Linked DNA regions of Pelodiscus sinensis. The protein of the gene in region 2 interacts with the protein of the main gene of each other region in a pairwise test. Links are inferred from orthologs where the notes say so. Each region holds a gene or a part of one and is shown on either strand. Other genes may lie near its edges. The genes, in order: SLC38A7 and SAR1A.

Region 1 (10,130 bases), on a different chromosome or scaffold from region 2:
TTTTTGGACGTCATCGCAACTGGTCACCTTTGTCTCAGCTGGCAGAGCCTGGGGTTGGACGGCCAGAGAGCGCCTCTCCATCTCCGAACAATTGCCCCCCCCTCGGTCAGAGACCAGGCAGGGTGGCGGGTGGGTGCACGGAGGAAGCTACACTGCACCGGTCACGCGACTCACCAGAGCGTCAAGCCACAGGGCTGTGAAGCCGCGGCCTCTTGATGACAACTCATTCAAACACTGCATTTCAAAGCCAGCTTCCTTATTTCCACCCCACGTTTCTACAAACGCAGCAAAAGCCCTTGTGTGCCTTTGGGACAAAGTTCAGGGCAAGCCCGGACGAGAGGCCAGCGGGGTCTGTCTGCTCATGTCATGCTGAGCGGAGGGAGCGCCTCTGAACGCGTGGGGGCGGTGACAGCCACCTCTCCCACAGGCAACTCACCCTTTCCCATCCTGGGCGGGCCAGAATCTAAGAGGGGGGCCCCGTGTGTCTCCTCTGCTCAGCACCTTCCCTGCCCCGCATCCAGCTTGGGGCTACCAGGCTTGCCCTGCCCCACCAGTTACCTGCAGGGTGTGGGTACGGGAAGGTGAGGTCTGTCCCTCTGCTAGGACGCGTTCAGCTGCTCTCCCTGGCAATGGCTGGTCCCACCCCTTCCGTTCCCCACCGAGCCCCAGGGTCGAGGTCAGGGTCCGAGCATTTCAGGGAGCTGTGAGATTCTTTCCCTCACCCCTGGCAAGTGAAGAAGAAATCCGGAGGGGCACTTGACTCTCCATGCATCAGCTTTCCACACTCATCCCAAAAGGACACCGCTAAGTCATTGCTAGTTTGGAGATCCCAACTTTTGTGGAAGACCCTCAGCTCTGGAGCTCAGAGATGCACAAATCTATGAAATCCTCCCCTTATGCTAAGAGCTATTGCCCGTGCTCAAAGGGGAGATGCCAAAGACAGAGGCAAGAGATGAGACTGTAAGCTCCTTGGGGCAGAGAGCATCTTTCTGGTCTGTGTTTGTACAGCACCCAGCACAAAGAGGCCTCAATTCACTTCTAGGGCTCCTAGGTCTACAGTTCAGAAAATCCACCCCCTCCCCACCGACTATCTCCCTTTTCTCTTCACTCCCCCTTCCTTCCACCCAAATCTCTAAACCCAAACAAAGCAAATTTGAAAAACAAAACAAAACCCACAGCTCTTCGACAATTTCCTTTTTAAAAAAAACAGAGCACGGTTTTCACTGCATGTCAGATGGTGAAGATGGAAAGTGCAGAAGGCATTTAATTAAAAGCACTCAATTTGGGAATAAAATATGTCAGTCACAGATTTTTTTTTTTTTTAAATACCCTGAAGCTTGTCAGAGATTTATCTGCAAACACTTTGTAGTAAGAGCAAGTCAGCTGTCCTGCTGAATACAACGTTAATTGTTAATGGAATTCATGATTCAGCTCATCTCTGATTTACATTTTCTTCATCAGGATTTCTAAAATAACTTTATATTTTAAACATACTCTTAAGCCTTCATAAAGTCATCCTTCCCGATTACTACGTATTAACTCAATGAAATAAAGACATTATTTTAAATTAATTGGTCACAGAGGTTTAGTGCATTCATGACCACGTTCATAGCTTTTAGAAAAAGGAACGCTAATTTACCTTGTGTGATCACCATAACAATAGATCTATTTATGAAATTTCATCAGCTTCAAAAAGAGGTTTCCAAAGATTTTAGGAATAACAAAGAATTTTTATCTCTGACTGCAAAGAGGGCTTCACATGGTATCTTTATACTGTCCTTCATCGGCCCCACACACTTACCAGATTAACCTTTACAGTATGAGGCAAGTGATACACCACTACTTCTACCACAAAAAAGTAACAATGGGTGCACTTCAGAGTGCTACACTGCATTTATTCAGCTTATTTTTGGGCTGTTCAGGAACTAGGGAACACAGAGAGGAGCGAGGAGCAAACTGGAGTTTGCTTTGTCTTGGGATCATCAACGAACACCCAACTATTACTAAAATAAGCTTCCAGCTCTGTCACTCCAGGGTCCTACATTATGTGCAGCTCAACCTGCAGCATCAGCATTATAGCACAGGATTAGAGGAAACAAAGCTCAACCATCAAATTAGCAAGCCAGAAGTATTTCATCTCAGCCCTGTGAGCGGCTATAGATCTTTCAGGGATGGGGTTAAATACTAAGGCAGATGTCTAGTATATGCAAGTTGGGAAGGGGTCTACAGGGAAAGAGGATCCTGGGTATGGGCTGAGCAGTCCTGTGGGAGGAGCCTAAAGAGCAGCCAGGCCTGGAGGAAGCTGAGAGTTGATCTTTACGTCCTCCGCACCGTTTTTCTGTTAACAAGGAAAGTGGCTGTCTAGGAACACTACACTCAGCATAGAGGAAGTGCCTCCTCACGCAACTGAGAGCTATTTCAAACATCTCATCCCTGTGACTGTTAAGCAGATCAGGGTGAGACAGCTGATTGAGGACAAGCTCATAAGTAACTTCTATCCCAGGACATGGTTAACCAGTGAAACTCACAGATCCAGGGCAGTGCTGAGAGGAATACTTTTCTTCTGAAGCTTATTAAACCAGACACATCCCCGGACAAGACCCACACTTGTAGGGTAACTAGGAAGTTGTGAGAAGGCTCTCAGTCAATCTTTATGATTAGTATAGAACGTATTGCCATTTAAGGTTTGGAGGAAGTTTTCCCCCAGGGCCAGTCCTTGCAAGAATCATGGTAGCAGGGTGCAGAGAAGAGGGTTTCTACTGAGCTGAAGGAAGGAGCCCAGCAGATTGCCTTTGCCTTGCCTACTGCAATACACAAGCCGGCAGACCGCAGGTCAGGAATAAATGTTCTCCATTCCCGACTTCTTCCCCACTAACCCCTCAGGCAAGATGGCACAGCCCATCCGGCGTGTTAGAGAGGATCAGTCCTTCCTACAAAGCAGGTGGCATCTGCTTACAGCCAGGACAATCAAGTTTCTGGGACTAGCCGTCTGCTTTCAATGGAGGATTCCTGTGACTCCATTAAGCAGAACTACCCGACCCACAGAAACTTCCTTGTGGAGGAGTTTAACCCTGAAACGTGCTGACAACAGGGACGTGATAACCCAGGAGAGAGCCACTGCTGACAGTCACCAGAGCCCAGTCATACACAGCCTACAGTAGGAAAACGCCAGCCAGGCAAAAAAACAACCCGCCGTTTGCATGCTGGCTGGAGAAAGGGCAGCCCCGCTAGCATACAGCAAGGGGACAAAAGAACAGGGAAGGGCGAGCACAGAGCCTGCACCACGCCCTCCGTGGGTACCAGGACGGCAAGGGGCCACAGCCCCCACGGCAGCAGAGGTGTCACAGGGACGCAGCCACCGAAGCATGCAGGTGCATGGGTGGTGGCAGGGTTTGCAGCCTGGCTGTACCGCCCCGACAGGGAGATGATCCTGCAGCTGCTCCAGAGCCCGATGGGGAGAAGGCCACTGCCTGAGGGCGCCTGCACTGATGCCTACCAGGGGGTGGGAAGACGGGCTGAGCTGGGCGAGGGCTCCGGGGTGGAAACCCACCCCTGGGGGGGGGAGGGAAGGAGGCTCCTTCATACGGGCACCGCAGCCCTTTCTGGGGCTGCTCGGCTCATTCATCCACCAGCCCCCGGTGTCCTCATACCTGGGGAAAGGGACGAAAAAGCCTCCCACGGTCTCTCCTGCTTCTCCGCACCGGCTCCAGCGCCCGGGCCAGATGATTAAGCCCCACGTGCAGCCGCCCAGCGCACAGCACGCTGGGAACTGTAGTTCTCTCCCCGCCACAGCTGACTCTCAGCGGCCTGGTCCCTCCTCCACGAGTCATTTCCTGCTTGGTGGCTCAGCGTTAGCCCTTCAGCCAGATTTGGGGTTTCCTTCTGCATTCCACGGCCGGCCGCAGTGTTCCCCTGTCAGCACCATTGTCAAGCTTTCCACCCCCACCTCGCTTCCTGCAAGCCAGCTGGGGGTGGATAAACAAGGCAACTCAGGTTTCAGATCTTGCCACACAGCTGTGTGCTGAGCCTTTGTATTCATAGCCTCAGGTTTTTTGGAAGAGACTAAGTAGAATCATAGAATCATAGAACTGGAAGAGACCTCAGAAGGTCATCAAGTCCAGCCCCCTGCTCTAGGCAGGACCATTTCCAACTAAATCAGCCCAGCCAGGGCTTTGTCAAGCGGAGACTTAAACACCTCTAGGGATGGAGACTCCACAACTTCCCTAGGGAACCCATTCCAGTGCTTCACCACCCTCCTAGTGAAATAGTTTTTCCTAATATCCAACCTGGACCTCTCCCACCACAACTTGAGACCATTGCTCCTTGATCTGCCATCTGTCACTACTGAGAACAGCCTCTCTCCATCCTCTTTGGGACCTCCCTTCAGAAAGTTGAAGGCTGCTATCAAATCCCCCCTCACTCTTCGCTTCTGCAAACTAAACAGACCCAAGACTCTCAGCCTCTCCTCATAGGTCATATGCTCCAGCCCCCTAATCATTTTGGTTGCCCTCTGCTGGACCCTCTCCATTGTGTCCACATCCTTTTTGTAGTGGGGGGCCCAGAACTGGACACAATACTCCAGATGCGGCCTCACCAAAGCCGAATAAAGGGGAATGATGACATCTCTGGATCTGCTGGTAATGCTCCTCTTAATGCACCCTAATATGCCATTAGCCTTCTTGGCTACAAGGGCACACTGTTGACTCATATCCAGCTTCTCATCCACTGTAACCCCCAGGTCCTTTTCTACAGAACTACTACTTAACCGGTTGGTCTCCAGCCAAGTAGGGCAGGCCAGCTCCTCACTGACAAACACCACCCTCCTTCCCCTGCCGTTTCCCCCACCAGCTGTGGGGGTGATCCACCTGCAGTCCCCAGAGTGTACGCCCAGGTGACCACTGCCGCCCTCCACGTGCTGCCACTTTCACCTCCAGCTCCATCCTGGGCCCCTTCCCCACCCTGCGTCTGCTGCCTCCTGGTCCCCGCCTTGCCCCACCTCAAAACATACGTGCAGGCATTGGCGAGGGTGGTAGGGTCCTTGGCCATGGTGGCGGCCACCAAAATGTATGGGAAGGTAGTGTTCTCCTTTTCTCGGAGGCTTTTGCCCAGGCGGCGGTGGAGAGGGGCCTGGTGGTGGAGGGCATACATGTGCCCCTAGAGCCACTGAAAAAAAACAACCCTTTTGTAGAGGCTGGTCTATGAGGTGGGGGAGTGGAAGGGAAAGATTTGTTTAAAGTAATGGCACGATAACTTCAGAAAACTTTTAAGTTTGGTCACAAGTCTCCGCTGGCTTTATTGCAATGACTCATGTGAATGCAGGAGGCCCTCCGCTTTGCGATGGCCCAATTTATGACCTCCCACAATTATGACCTTTTCCATAAGTGCAGAACGGGCTGAAATCCCCCAACTTACAACCTTGGCCCCACATTTATGACAGCGTACGACACCTGTCGTAAATGTGGATTCAAGTTACGACACCCCCGACTTGCAACACTATCTCCGGAACCGATCGTGTCGCCAGTTGGGGGCAGCCTGTAAAATGATTTGTGTTTGCAAATTTAGGACCTCAGTGCTGAGCGTCTGCATTGCCCATTGGCTTCTATGGCAGATGTCAATGCTCAGCACCGCTCAGGTTTTTGCTCTACCCTTTTTTGTTGCACTTGGCCCTGGGCCTCATCCTCTGTTGCTCGGCAGCTTATTTGATCCGTTACAGCACAGAATATAAAATGCCACTGGATTACGGTGGCCTTCCCAGTCTCGACTACAGGGACACAAATGCTGACAGCCAGGACAAGCGAGTGGCTAACAGCTGCTCTTACCCAGCTATGCTGCTAACACCTCCAGACATTTTAAATCACCAGAGGGGAAGCAGGTAAGGCCGGAAGATGGGTAAGGGTTGCAGGAGGGGCTGGAGGATGCTAGGGGCTGGGAACGCAGGTAGACAGTGAGTTTTGATGGACCCCAGCCCCGAACCTTGAAGATTCCTGGTGCTGGAGCACCTTGGGCCCATAATACTAGCTGCCTATACACACATCCTGTCAGCTGTTATTCCCTTCAGAATGTTTCACTCTGAGGTTTGGAGTCTTGAAACCTTTCCAAGCACGGATGGAAATTGTGTCTATCTTTGTGAGTATGTACAGTAAATGGCCTTGATGTTTTCTCCTCACAGATCTCTCACACATCACTGAACATCTCTCTGGAGGCAGCAGAGGCTGGTATTCTGTAACAATCTCCCCCCTCAAACTGCCTCCTCTGGCCATCAAGTCATGTACAGGAGGCCTTTTCCCAGCACTTCTGTTTGCTCTCCAGAATACCTACCTTGTTAATAATTTGCAAGGGATCAGACAGTTTGAAAACACGCAGCTGGTGGCTAAAAATTGAACAAAATCCCTTAGGGCTGGTCCACACACAGAGTTTTCATTTGGTTTCATCAAATCCGTTCGGGAACAGAAAGCCTTAAAACAGTACATCACTGGTATGGAGGCAATTGTACCAGTATAGAAGTTCTTGGAGGAAACCATTTTGAAAGCTATCTATCAGCTTCAAGGAAACAACTGTTATTTGCTTGCCTGAATACAGATTCACAGATTTAGAGATCCTAGCAGGCATCAAAGTAGGGGCAAAGGGGGAGCTTTTCAGGAAGGTAGGGATGTGGGGGTGTTGGTAGGCAGAGGCAGAGGGTGCGGGAGGTGGTGAAGTCAGGGGTGGAGGGGCTGCGGGTTGGGGTGGAGGGGATGTTGGGCAGCGAGTCATGGGTGAGGGGTCTCAGCGAGTAGAGGGAGTGGGGGCACTGGCTGTAGAGGCAGTGGGTCAGGCTGAGCAGAGTGGGGATCTCAGGGTGCGGGGCAGTGGGGGTCTCCGGGCAGTGGGTCAGGGTCTTGGGGCTAAGGTGGGTGGGGGTCTCAGAGCAGTGGGGAGGGTCTCTGGGGGGGGCACTGGCTGTAGGGGCAGTGGGTCAGGCTGAGCAGAGTGGGGATCTCAGGGTGCGGGGCAGTGGGGGTCTCCGGGCAGTGGGTCAGGGTCTTGGGGCTAAGGTGGGTGGGGGTCTCAGAGCAGTGGGGAGGGTCTCTGGGGGGGGCACTGGCTGTAGGGGCAGTGGGTCAGGCTGAGCAGAGTGGGGATCTCAGGGTGCGGGGCAGTGGGGGTCTCCGGGCAGTGGGTCAGGGTCTTGGGGCTAAGGTGGGTGGGGGTCTCAGAGCAGTGGGGAGGGTCTCTGGGGGGGGCACTGGCTGTAGGGGCAGTGGGTCAGGCTGAGCAGAGTGGGGATCTCAGGGTGCGGGGCAGTGGGGGTCTCCGGGCAGTGGGTCAGGGTCTTGGGGCTAAGGTGGGTGGGGGTCTCAGAGCAGTGGGGAGGGTCTCTGGGGGGCGGGGCTCAGCCCTGGTGAAACTGGTGGAGGGGGAGCAAGTGACGCTGCCCCGCCTGTAACAAGGCCCGGCGCGCGCCGCCTGCACGGAGCCATCCCATCGACTGCGCGCTTTGGTCCTTGCGCCGCGCCGTAGCTGTCGCCATGGAGACGGGCCTAGCGACCCGTCCCCGGGAGGCGCCTGGAGCCACCGGCCTGGCCCTGAGCGCGCCCCGCGGGATGAGGCCGGAGGGAGCGGGGTGCCGGGCGCCGCCTCTGACCGCGGGGAGAAGGTGAGGAGCGGCCGCAGCCTGGGGGCAGGGCCCGGGGAGAGCGGGGTCCCCCGAGCGCTTCGTCCGGCTGCGGAGGGCGGAGCCGTTAGGCGGGGGCCGTGGCCCGGAGGGAGCCTCCGCTTGCGGGTGCTGGGGTGGGGCCGGGAGGCCCAGGAGCAGGCGGCGGGCGGGGCGGCTTCATCGCCGCCCCCCCCCCAGGTCGGGGTGCGTGGCCGAGTCCCGGCTCCCCGCGCCGAGGCCCCCTGGGCGGGCCGACCCCGGCAACGGGACCGAACGGGGCGCAGGCTCCGGGCTTGGGGGAAGGGATTTGGCGTGTGAGGGGGGCTCTAGGCTGAGCCTGGGGCAGGCAGTTGGGGTGGAGGAGGGGTCAGGGGACAGGCTCTGCAAGGGAGTTTGGGTGCAAGGGGTTCCGGGCTAGGACAGGGGCTTGGGGTGGAAGAGGGGTTCTTGACGGGGGCAGGGGCTTGGGATTCTGGCTCAGCTGGACTCTGCTCACCTCAGGCGGCTCCTGGGGGGGGGGGGGGTGTCAAAGCTTCATTCCTTGGCCAACTTTTTTCTGGCAAATAGTTTATTCCCATTTCCGTGGTTAGTAAACATACAGGCTGTGTCTACACTGGCAGGAATTTCCGGAAGTGCTTAAAACAGAACAGTTTTCCGTTATAAGTATTTCCGGAAAAGGAGCGTCTACATTGGCAGGATGTTTTCCGGAAAAGCCCTTTTTCCGGAAAAGCATCTGTGGCCAATGTAGACGTGCTTTTCCGGAAAAGAGCCCCGATTGTCATTTTCGCGATCGGGGCTTTTTTCCGGAAAAGACTACTGGGCTGTCTACACTGGCCCTTTTCCGGAACAGTGTTCCGGAATAAGGACTTATGCCCGAGCGGGAGCAGCGTAGCTTTTCCGGGATAGCGGCTGATTTTGTACAGTAGAGCGTCGTTGCTTTTCCAGAAATTCAAGGGCCAGTGTAGACAGCTCGCAGCTTATTCCGGAAAAGCGGCTGATTTTCCGGAATAAGTGGCCCAGTGTAGACACAGCCACAATGTGCATGTAAAAAAAGCAACCAAAGGCAATGATCAACCAGTCTGTTGCAAATCTGGCTGGTCTGGGAGAGTGGGCAACCCCTGAGCAGGGCAGGGAGGGACGCTCACTTGCATCTCAGGGCAGCAGGTGGCTGGCATGGACCATGGGCTGGAGGAGAACTCAGGCGGAGCATAGGACGGCCGCATAGCTGGCCAGAGAGAACGGTAAACCACTGCTTCTCTCCAGCTGTGTGGCCACCCTCAGCTTCTCTTGAGTCCTTGGACCTATGCTCACCCTGCTGCTCACTGCCACCTGGTAAGTGGGGGCTAGGTGCAGCCCATGTAGTGGGGAGGGAGAAGCAGCCAGGAGCTGGGGCTGGCGGGAGCTGCCAGAACCCTGTCACTGAGCCCATGGGGAGGGGGATGACTGTTCCTAGGCATACACAGCCTAAGGCATTACTAAATTTGGGGCACCTAGTGACCCAAATGTAATGGTACACTATGTAGCTGCATATGCCCCGGATGGCCCTGTATTTAAACATACGTAGCAGCCTACACTAAGACTGCTCTGGTTGGTCTCTGATTTCTAAAATATACAACATAGTGAGTGTCACTGGAGGACTCACACACTATTTAAAGATTATGATCTTATTCTACAATTAGATGAATCAGTCTTTAGACTTGCAGTGAGACTCATATGGCAAGGGAGTGGCTTGCTTTTTCAAGGAATTTGGAGAACATTCCCTCTGTGGCTGGAATATCTTCATTTTCCTTTCTATTTTTAATTCCAAAATTCCGTCAGAGGTTTGCCAACTATGTTTGACCAAGTTTGTGGAAACGTACAAAATGGTAGCCCCTTTGCTTTAATGTTTATGCAAATAACTTTGATGTCCTCTGTTGAATTAATCAGTAGTTGAAACAATAATGCTGCATTACATTACATGGGAAAGAGCTAAATGTTTTTTTCTGGAGTGCAAGCATTTCATTATATTAGCATTTGAAAAGATGCAATTCAGTACTTTGATATAACAACTAAAAGGCACCTTGTTTTCTTTCAACATAACTGCTATAATGCACAGAAATCTGATTAAAATAATTGAGAATCAGCTTTCTGAATTTTTCTGAATCAACTGCAAGTATAGTAAATGAGATTGATGGGTCATCATTAATTAAATCACGTTTACTCAATTGACGCAACTGATTCCACTTGTTCACTTTGACTCTAAAATTGCAAGATAATTATAATTGTTTTGTTATAGTTATTAAGCAATTGTTGTCATTGTTAGTGCTAATCACTGATGACATTTTAAGGGGGATGTGTGTGTCTGGATGCTACTTTAAGTGTTCCTAATTTACTTGTATTAAGATCCTTTTTAACACTGAAGGGAAATTACTTCAGGAATTCATGCATGATTTCGTGCTGTCTGCCTTTCTTAAAGGAAGCTTTTATAATCTGTAATATGGATGCTACCAAACAT
Region 2 (10,119 bases):
TAGATCCCAATCTACTGGTTGGTGACCACTGCCTCAGAGTGAGGGGCTGGCCAGAGGCAATGGGTCATGTTACCGCAGGGACAGCCCTGCTCCACCCAGCTCAGGACAAGGGCACTGTTTACAAACGGGCATCCGCCAGACACACAGTGGCCCTCTGGCCCCGCGCTGCTGCCATCATGCTTCTTCCCTTGGGGGTGGGCCCATGCCGCACTCTGCTACCCCCACCCAGCACCCCTTTGACTCCCTACACCCAGTGCCATACCACCCAGAGACCCCCACAAATCACTATGCCCAGTGCCTCCCACAGATCGCTATGCCCAGCACACCCCCACCCACCCAGTGACCCCCCACAGATCCCTTCACTGCCCAGTGGCCCCCATAGTCCCACCACACAACTGCACAGTGCCCCTCACAGACCCCCCACGCTTCCCAGCGCCCTGATACACACAGATCTGCCCAGTGCCCCAAAAAAACCCCTACTCCCCAGCATCCCAAAACAAACAATCCTTCCCCACTGCCGAGCACTTCCCACCCTCTCACTGCCCAGCACCCCCCCCAGGCCCTCTAGAGACCTATTCTCCCACACCTGGACCCCCCGTCCACAATAGCCAGCCCTGATAGGAGGCGAGGGGCCAGACCCTGCTGTGTGGGTGGGCCTGGTGCCACAGTGCCATTGGCACCATTGTAAACCCGGTAGTGACGCCAAACCAACTCCCTTCTGTCCCTGGTGCTACTTTACTGCTACAGGAGACTTGGTGCAGTGAAATAATTTACCTACATTCCCTCAAACTCTGTGTCACACATTTTGAGAATTTAAAAGAGTCTCTTATCACTCACTATATGTCTACGTGAAGTCTCATAACGGTTTCCAATTTGGTTTTTATCTGCTGTGATTCCCTGAATTGCACTCTCTTCTTGTAAACCATTTTAATTATAGTTTTGCAACTTTAAAAATGTTATTTCTATTACTCTGAACAAGTTGTAATTTATCTGTATTATCACTTTGTAATGCATGTGTGTTTATGTTTTATTTTAATAGCTAATGCTCATCCAAAATTTTAAGTAAGCAGTTGCTATTGGTTTTAGGAATTCCATCTGTGTTTCTGTTTTTGCGGAAAAGTGTCTGTGCCAATCCAGACGCGCTTTTGCACAAAAAAGCTCCGATCTGTCTACACTGGCCCTTTTGCGCAAAAGCTTTGCACAAAAGGACTTTTGCCCGAACGGGAGCAACATAGTATTTCCACAAGAAGCACTGATTTCAGACAGTAGGAAGTCAGTGTTCTTTCAGAGATTCAAGCGGCCAGTGTAGACAGCTGGGAAGTTTTTCTGCAGAAGCAGCTGCTTTTGCGGAAAAGCTTGCCGGTCTAGACACAGCATTCATGTATGTAAAAGGCTGATATTATAAACTGGAGTCAGGTTGGTGCTATGCAAATTTATATAGGAACTGCTAGACTGGCTCAAACCTAGGGTCCACGTAATCCAGTATCTGATGGCTGCAAGTATTAGATGTTGTTGTAGAGAAAGGTGTAAAAAAACCCACAAGAGGCAGATGTGGGCTAATCTGTCCCCCATACGTCTCATCCTATCACCTAATATTGTCTTCAGTCCTGAAATATAAATAGGGGTTTATATTGCTTTCAAAACTCTTTTACAACTGGACATTCTTGTTACTTGTCTGAACATCTACTTCCCCTTTGAATTTTGCTAAATTCTAAGTTTAAAAGTTACCATGTGGCAAATGAGTTCTACTGTCTAACTATATGCAAGTAGAACAATATTTCCTTGTATACATTTTGGCTGCGTCTAGATTGGCATGATTTTCTGGAAATGCTTTTAACGGAAAACTTTTCCGTTAAAAGCATTTTCGGAACAGAGCGTGTAGATGGGCATGGACGCTTTTCTGCAAAAGCACTTGTTGCGGAAAAGCATCTGTGCCAATATAGACACGCTTTTCCGCAAAAAAGCCCCGATCGCCATTTTTGTGATCGGGGCTTTTTTGCGGAAAACAGTACTGTGCTGTCTACACTGGCCCTTTTGCACACAAGTCTTTCGGAAAAAGACTTTTGCCAGAACGGGAGCAGCATAGTATTTCCGGAAAAGCACTGACAATCTTACATGAGATCGTCAGTGCTTTTGCGGAAATTCAAGCGGCCAGTGTAGACAGCTGGCAAATTTTTCCGCAAAAGCAGATAATTTTGCGGAAAAACTTGCCAGTCTAGACACAGCCTATGTGTATTATATTGTGTCATCTTACATCCTTCCCAAAGGCAAAAATCTTTTGCAACAATGGAGGTTTGGGCTGATGAGCAGTGGCTGCAAAACTTTTGGATGCTCAAGTCCACATTCCTGCATCTGTGTGTAAAACTCACCAAAATAAAAGCTATACTGACAACTGAGAAGCAAATATAGATTGCATTATGGGGGCCTGCAACACCAGATTCTTATTGGTCAATAGGCTTACCAGGTAGGTTTAGAAAAAATACTGGACACACTTGATGGGGGTGTGTGTGTAGTGCAGTTAGCCTGGGGCATGTCTACACTGCCACCCTTGTTCGATCTAGGGTGGTTAATGTAGGCAACCGAAGTTGCAAATGAAGCCCAGGATTTAAATATCCCGGGCTTCATTTGCATCTTGCCGGACGCCACCATTTTTAAAGCCCCGGTAGTTCGGACTCCGTGCCAGCGCAGCACGGAGTAGGTAGTTCGGATTAGGCTCTCTAATCCGAACTATCGGTACAGCTCGTTCCAGGAGGCTTGCTGAGGCCTGTGGGGGTAATGCATCAGAACTAGCCAATTCACTACCCTCACGCCGCAACACCGGCCTGGAGGCACCGCCACTAGCACCCCACAGTGTGGGAGAAAACAGGGCCTGACCTGACCCCCAGTGCAAGGAATCCACTTGAGGGAGGGCCCTAGCACCAAAATTTCACTGGTGCTCAGGAGGCTACAGGGCCTTTCTAGGGGGCACTGGCTCCAGTTCAGTCCCACGGCAGGGGGCACGGGCTGACTCACGGAGGTATGGATGGGCTCTGGAGAGCCGTCCCTTCTAGAGGGCACCAGCCTCCGTCTAACCCCATGTGGCAGTATAGTATCACAGAACACTAGAGCTGGAAGGGACCTCAAGAGATCATCAAGTCCAGTCCCCTGCCCTCACAGCAGGACCAAGCACCCAGGGCTGCTCAATACATGGCCCATGGGCTGCATGCTGCCCATGGCCAGTTTGTTTGCGCCCTGCAGTGCAGTTTGGGTTTATGTGGGGATCAACACGTGGCCGGCGAGTGGGAACCAAAACCAAAAAAGTAGTCAGTGTAATGATCTTCTGTTGAGATGAGTTTTAGTAGTTCCAAAGTTGAGTTGCCCTAGCTCATCCCTGACAGGTGTCTGTCTAACCTGGTCTTAAATATCTCCAGTGATGGAGATTCCGCAATCTCCCTAATCAATTTAATCCAGTGCTTAACCACCCTGACAGGCAGGAATTTTTTCCTAATGTCCAACCTAAACCTCCCTTGCTGCAATTTAAGCCCATTGCTTCTCTTCCTAACCTCAGAGGCCAAGGAGAACAATTTTTCTTCCTCCTCCTTATGATACTCTTTTAGATACTTGAAAGCTGCTCTCATGTCCCTTTTCGGTCTTCTCTTTTCCATGGTAAACAAGGCCAATTCCTTCAGCCTTGCCTCATATCTCATGTTCTCTAGACTTCTCATTATTTGTGTTGATCTTCTCTGGACTTTCTCCAGTTTCTCCACGTTTCCTGAACTGTGGCGCCCAGAACCGGACATGATACTCCAGCTGGGGCCTAATGTAGATGGCTCATTCCCTGCCTAGGGGACGTAAGACTGGGTGGGTGAATTTCCAGTCCTCCTGTGTATGCTTTTCTTAAGCCAGAAGGGCTCAGTGGTTTTGATGGGGGACCTGCAGGAAGGCAGCCCGCACTGCCCCCTGCCTGAAACCTTCTGCAGGTGTTAAACAGCTGTCCAGCCCACCCTAGAGGTGACTGCATTTCAGCGTGCCTGTAGCAACACAGCACCAGCAATGGACAGGAGAATGGCTCCCGGGCATGGCTTGCTCATGACTGCTTCAGTCCCATTGGATGGGCCTCTGCCTCTTTCCGTCCCCTCCCCCGCTTTGCAATGGGGCTGTAGAGTCTGGGGGAGAGTGGTGGAGGCAGGCAGAGGTGTCTCCCTGCAGCAGATATAGACACATCTCTGTATTAATCATTCTCTCATTGAAGTTTTTAGCTTTGTATTGAGTCCTTTTACATGAAAACTTTGTATTATGTCTTGGTAGAATAGTCCCTAGGACAAGTGAGGCAGAGACTGTCCCTGTGGGGTGAATGAGGTGGGACTGTATAAGGCAGAAGGTGAGCACCTCTGGGCAGTTGCGAAGGTTGGAGAGGGGATGGAAGCCAAGATCAATGAGCCCTGGGAAGTGGGCCCATTGAAAGAAGACTGGACCTGTGGATGCTGTGGGGGTCAGCAGCAAGGGCCTGCTTTGGGAAGCCCCCTCTTTGGAGGTGAATGTGGCAGCACTGAGACACCACCGAGAAGCAGGTGCCAGAGACACTAACTGCAGATGCATGGGATGGCCTTCTCAGAGCTAGCACATGAATAAGATGACAGATCTGCAGGAGGGGGGACAGTGGCATAGCAAGGGGGCCGGAAAGATCAGTTGCCCCTGGGCACCATGCTAGGGAGGCGTCAATTTAATCCCATTCTGCTCCCCATCATCCCTCAGCTCACGTGCTCCTCCTCCGCCTGCCACCGGCAGCTGGAGCCTCCTTCCTGCCTCTCTGCTCCAAGCCCAACCCTCCTCCATCTCCACCAGCAGGTTAGTGCACGGGGGAGCCCGGCCTCAAACTATAGGGGGTGGGGGAAGATGCGGTACAAGGAGCAACGGGTGAGTGTTTTCGACCACAGAACCCATCCCTCCGAATGTGCAACCCCTGGAGCAGGTGTCAGAAGAGGGAGCGCGTTGTGAGTGTTCTGGAGCAGGGACCCCGTCCCTGAGCATTCGCAGCCCCTGGACCAGGTAGCGAGTCCTGAGCAGTAGCCCACAATTTCACGTTTGCATGGCAGAAACCCCAACGAGGCGCAAAAAATGGGGGTTTCAGTTTTCTTCGCGGCACCTGGCCCATGTCCCAGGCAGCCCCGGGCTTAGCGACTCAAAGGGCAGCCTGGAGCTCAGCTGCCCCCAGCGGCAGCGCTGACCCACCCCGCTGCCAGGACACCCCTGCGCGCCTGCGCCCTCTGCTGCCGGAGCCGGCCTCTGACGCCCAGCCCCGAAGCATCAGGGGAGGGGCTAAAACCTGCGCCCAGCACCGTGACACGTCACCGCGCCGTAACCGCACGCAGCGCGCTAGCCAGCGCGGCGGACCCATCCCCGGAAGTAGCCGAGCGAAGAAGTGCTACGTATTTCCGGCGTGTAGCTGGCGGTTGCCGACTCCGAGTAAGTGAGTGAGGACCGACGCCTGTGGAGGGATCGCGGCCCAGGTCGGCCATAGAGGGGCGAGGCGGGTGCTGCTGCTGCGCGGGGAGGTGAGGGGCGGCCAGCTGGCCGGGGCTAGTGGAGGGGGTGCTGGGCCGTGGGCTGGTTCGGTGGGGGAGGGGAGCCGAGTGACACGCAGTCGGTTTGGGTGGGAGCCGCTACGCGGGGGGGAGGGGTGACGCCGGGGCGGGCTGCTCTGCCGTAGGATGGGGGGGGGGCAGGGGAAAACAGACCTGCTGTGGGGCTGATGTCCGGCTCCCTTCCACGTACGCTGTCGGGGCCCCCCTCACTTAGCCTGGGCCTGCGGGTCTAGGGCAGCGGGTTTCCGCTCCCGCCGGTGTCCTGGAGCTGTCACGCGGCGGGCGGACCTTCACAGTCAGTCCAGGACATGGGGCCTTTGAATCAGGGACCTGGGCGCGGACGAGTACACGGGCAGGCGCCCCGGGGAGCTTTGCCCCCGTGGCAGGTACTTCACCCCATCTCCATTTAGTGTTTCTTCACGCAGGATTTCTACATCCTCTTCAGGCACCTGTGATTCAGAATTATGTTTGTTGTGTTACATTTAGTTATGTGAGAATTTGCCCCTCCTGCAGTTGCTTTAATTTTTGAGGCACTGTCAGTAAGATGGGCTAACCTTGAGCCACAACATTACTTATGGCAACAGTACTAGGCATGTGAAAGGTAACCAGTAAGCATCTCCCTAAATGGATAATGCTTACTGGTTCCAGGTAACTGGTGGGGGCTGCAGCAGCTCCCTCCCTCCCCTCCCCCCCTCTCCCTCCCTGCCACAGATGGGCTGATCTTGAGTCCGGAGCAGCCTCTCTCTGCAGGGAGCCCAGGCACCTTGCAGTCAAGGACTGCTCTAGCAGAAGCCCCCAATGCAGGGCTGTGAGCCAACAGCCAACTCTAGCATGAGGTTGGGGCTGGAGCCCAGTGGGCTGAGGGCTGCTCCAGCCAGGTTGGAGCATTCCCCAGCTGGGATTCTGCTTAGTCAGATAACCAGTTAAATATTATGTCAACCTAATGTTTAACCAGTCAACTGATTAACTGGAATTTTACATTCCTAAACAGTACTAGCTGAAACTTCAAAATGCTCCTCCTGTGATTGGCACTTAAAAATCACTGCTGACTTACAAGCCCCACTTTGGACTAAAGACAACCAAATGAAAGTATTATGGATGGGTGGTTAACTTGCAGGTCCCCTTGTGATACTTGATCTTTTCCTAAGGATCGTTTTGCATTGTAGCTTTGGAGAGATAAAACCTAGACTGGGGATCTGATTTGTGTTTCACTTTCATTCTGAGTGCTACTGAAATGTGAGGGTGAACTTTTTATGTACTTCAGAGTCAACCATACTTTTATAAAGATTGATCTAATGCGGGGATTCTCAGATTGGGTAGCAATCCCATTATGGGGTTGCCAAGGCAGCCATTAGATTTGCTGAGGCCCCAAGTGTGGAGCTGAAGCCCAATCTCAAGGGCTTCAGCTCTGGGTGGTGGGGTTGCAGCACTTGAGCTTCAGCTTCGGTTCCGCCCCGCTCCCCCTCCCACATATGCGCACATCTCTTCCAAGACACCAGGGTTGGGCAGGCTCAGGCCTTGGTTCCCCTCTCCCCCATGGTTATGTAGTACTTTCTGAGGTCAGGAGGAGGTCGCAGTGAGAACCCCTTGTCTAATGGAATTCTGATTTTCCAGATATGTAGAAACTATTTACATTGTGTGACCAAAACGGATCCAATTTATTACTGCACCAAAGAGAGTGTGGTAATGAGCATGATAGCTAAAAGAAGCAGGTACAGACATATAATTCAGGAAGCAGCTAAAAGAGTGAAATAGATAAAAATGAGCAGCTATATGTTAACATAGACATTAGTGGGATATGTCCTGGAATGGCTGTTAGTACATCAACTCCACGGCTGTGTCTAGATTGCCGTGACCTTGAGCAAAAGCAGTCGCTTTTGCGCAAAAACTTGCTGCCTGTGAGTTCTTTCGCAAGTACATTGACGTTCTCATGTATGAAATCAGTGCTTCTTGCGTGAGAACTCTGATGCTCCTGCTCAGGAAGAAGCCCTCTTGTGCAACTGTTCTTGTGCAAGAGGCCAGTGTAGACAGGCAACATAAATTTCTTGCACAAGAAAGCCCCATGGTTAAAATGGCCATCAGAGCTTTCTTGCGCTAGAGAGCATCTACACTGGCAAGGATGCTCTTGTGCAAAAGCACATGCCAGTGTAGACGCTTTCTTCTGGAAGAGTTTTTGCACAAGAACTCTTTCGCAAAAGAGTTCTTGCGCAAGATCATGCCAATGTAGACGTAGCCCACTGGTACATATAGCTGCAGTTGATAATGCCATCTTTAGAAGAGAGCATGTTGATCTAAAGTGAAAATGTTTGAAAATGTTCAGGGATCTTTAACGTCATCCAAAATAGGAACCATAACCTTCTTTCAACTCCAATAACATTTAGACAACAAATATGAATTCTGCCTTTTGGTGCAGAGGCAAGTATACCATTAACTTGGTTTGGTAAACCTGTGAATAGACCACTCCAATAACCACCTATTTTTTTTATCACAGTCAAATACTGTCAAATCATAGCAAGCATACCCTGATGTAGGTGGCAGTCTACCTTTATGACTGCAACATGGTCTTTCTTTCTATCTTTCTTAACTTGATGATCAACATTTTTCTGAGATAAAGTAACTCAATTAAGTAATGTTGGTGTAATTAGTCATGTGTATCTATCTAAGGGTAAACATGTTGGAGTCGATGAAGTTTTACTTTTTTTGCTGCTATGGTTCTTTAAAATGTTGTGTTAAAATATTTGATTGTTCTTAACATTATTTGTCCAGTCAATTGACCACTTACTTGTGGACCTGTCAACTCCTCTCTCGTACTACAGCCTGAATCTTGCTGGGATATGGCATAAAGTTTTTACTGATAAATGTCTCATGTTTATTTTCTTGCAGGCAACTAATCTTCAACCATGTCTTTCATTTTTGAATGGATTTACAATGGCTTCAGCAGCATGTTGCAATTTTTAGGTAATATTTCAAATGTGTATTCACCAACAAACATAAATTGTTGATTTAACTAAAAAGATTTTAAATTCTGATTAAATCAGTGCAAATGCTAAACCGAAACATAATTATTACTTAAATTAGTTCAATTTATTAACTTACTGACATAAAATATCCCTTTTTAATAAGACTTGCACTCGCTTGAGTGCATCTACATTAAGCCTTTGCACTGCTTTTAATTAGATGAGATTAAAATCTCGTTAAAAAATAAGTTTAAACAGATGCACCTTTTATAGTACAGTTAACTCTCTTCCTGAACTTAATAGTACATTAGATTTTCTCTCCTGTTTTATAATAACAAAAAAATTGGTGAAATATTGGAGTAGTACAATTTATACTTACTTTTTTTTTTAAATTCGACGTGGGCCTAGCTTCTCTTATTACTTAGATTTTTGAAAATGAAACATCCATAAAATGTTCCTTTCCTTTTTCTAGGTGAACCCTGCATGTTCTTCTACTGTGTAGTAATCTGATGCAGTCTATAATGAAGATACTCTCTCCTTCCATGAAACTTTTGAGACATCTAATTTTTTGATTGTCTGCATGGCTATTTGTCTGAGTTTTCTAGACAAAATTGGAGGCACGGAAGTTAGGTTATGCTCATGCAAATGCTTATCAGATAGTCGATAAGCTTGTCAACTAGTCTTCTCCCCTTCCCCCTTGCTGCCATTATCAGAAAGAGGCGGGGATGGGGGGAGAGAGAAGAAGGAGGTACTACAAAGCGGCAGTCCTGCGTGGAGCCTGGCACTACCACTTTGAAATGCCACCATGGAAGCCCGGCGTCAGGCTCCTCCCGGTGCTTCAGAGCAGCAGCACTGGTGGAGCCCGGGATCATCTGGGGACTCCCCAGCTGATCTTGGACTGCAAGAGGCTGGGCTCCAAAGCATTTCAAAGTGGCAGCGCCGCACGCAGTTTGGGATCAGTTGGGGAATCCCCAGCTGATCCGAGGCTCCTTGCAGCACTGCCACGGAAGCCTGTCATCAGGCTCCTCCCGGCATTTCAAAGTGGCAGTGTTGGTGGAGATCCACTGACCCTGGGCTCCACATGGCCTGTTTGCCTTTAAAGTGTAGCAACGGCCCTGTGGCTGTTTCTACACTTCAGAGGTGGAGGCGCCCTATCAACGGGTCATCTAGTCAATGCAGAATGCATAGGTTATTCGATTAGTCAGTTACCTGCAATTTAACATCCCTACTCAGGAAGAGAGTGCATAACTAAGTCTAGTCCTTCTGGTTTACAAGTTAAATATTGAATCATAAAAATATAGGGTGCAAAGCAGAAGTGGGCAAAAGGAACTCTGACAGCTGGATCTGTCCGCCAAGCGAGTTAATCTGGTCCATGGAGGCCCTGCTGCTCCTCTGCCCCCAGGCCAGGTAAGGCCTGGGGTCAGAGGAGGGGAAGGGGGAGGAGAGTGCAGGAAGTTTCCTCTGCCCTGCAAGGAGCTTCTAAGCACCATGGGCTTCTGGCAGGGTGGGAGGTGACCTTGCATGCTCTCCCACCCACAGAACAATCAGGACCTGGGGGCAAGGGGAAGCGTGCAAAGTTTCCTCCACCCTGCAAGGAG

What was found.
Region 1: the proteins of SAR1A (region 2) and SLC38A7 interact in binary tests that used the Homo sapiens proteins (3 or more experiments, as listed by UniProt). The link is inferred for Pelodiscus sinensis from reciprocal best matches to the Homo sapiens genes SAR1A and SLC38A7.

What each region holds. Positions count from the first base shown.
Region 1 is NC_134722.1:46,525,404-46,535,533, forward strand, and holds the start of SLC38A7 (sodium-coupled neutral amino acid transporter 7), read right to left. Parts: upstream 3,806-10,130; 5' UTR 3,651-3,805; intron 1-3,650. UniProt on the Homo sapiens protein: Symporter that selectively cotransports sodium ions and amino acids, such as L-glutamine and L-asparagine from the lysosome into the cytoplasm and may participates in mTORC1 activation. The transport activity requires an acidic lysosomal lumen.
Region 2 is NC_134718.1:32,479,554-32,489,672, forward strand, and holds the start of SAR1A (small COPII coat GTPase SAR1A), read left to right. Parts: upstream 1-5,329; 5' UTR 5,330-5,445; exon of another isoform or gene 5,446-5,534; intron 5,535-8,447; 5' UTR 8,448-8,464; coding exon 8,465-8,522; intron 8,523-10,119. UniProt on the Homo sapiens protein: Small GTPase that cycles between an active GTP-bound and an inactive GDP-bound state and mainly functions in vesicle-mediated endoplasmic reticulum (ER) to Golgi transport.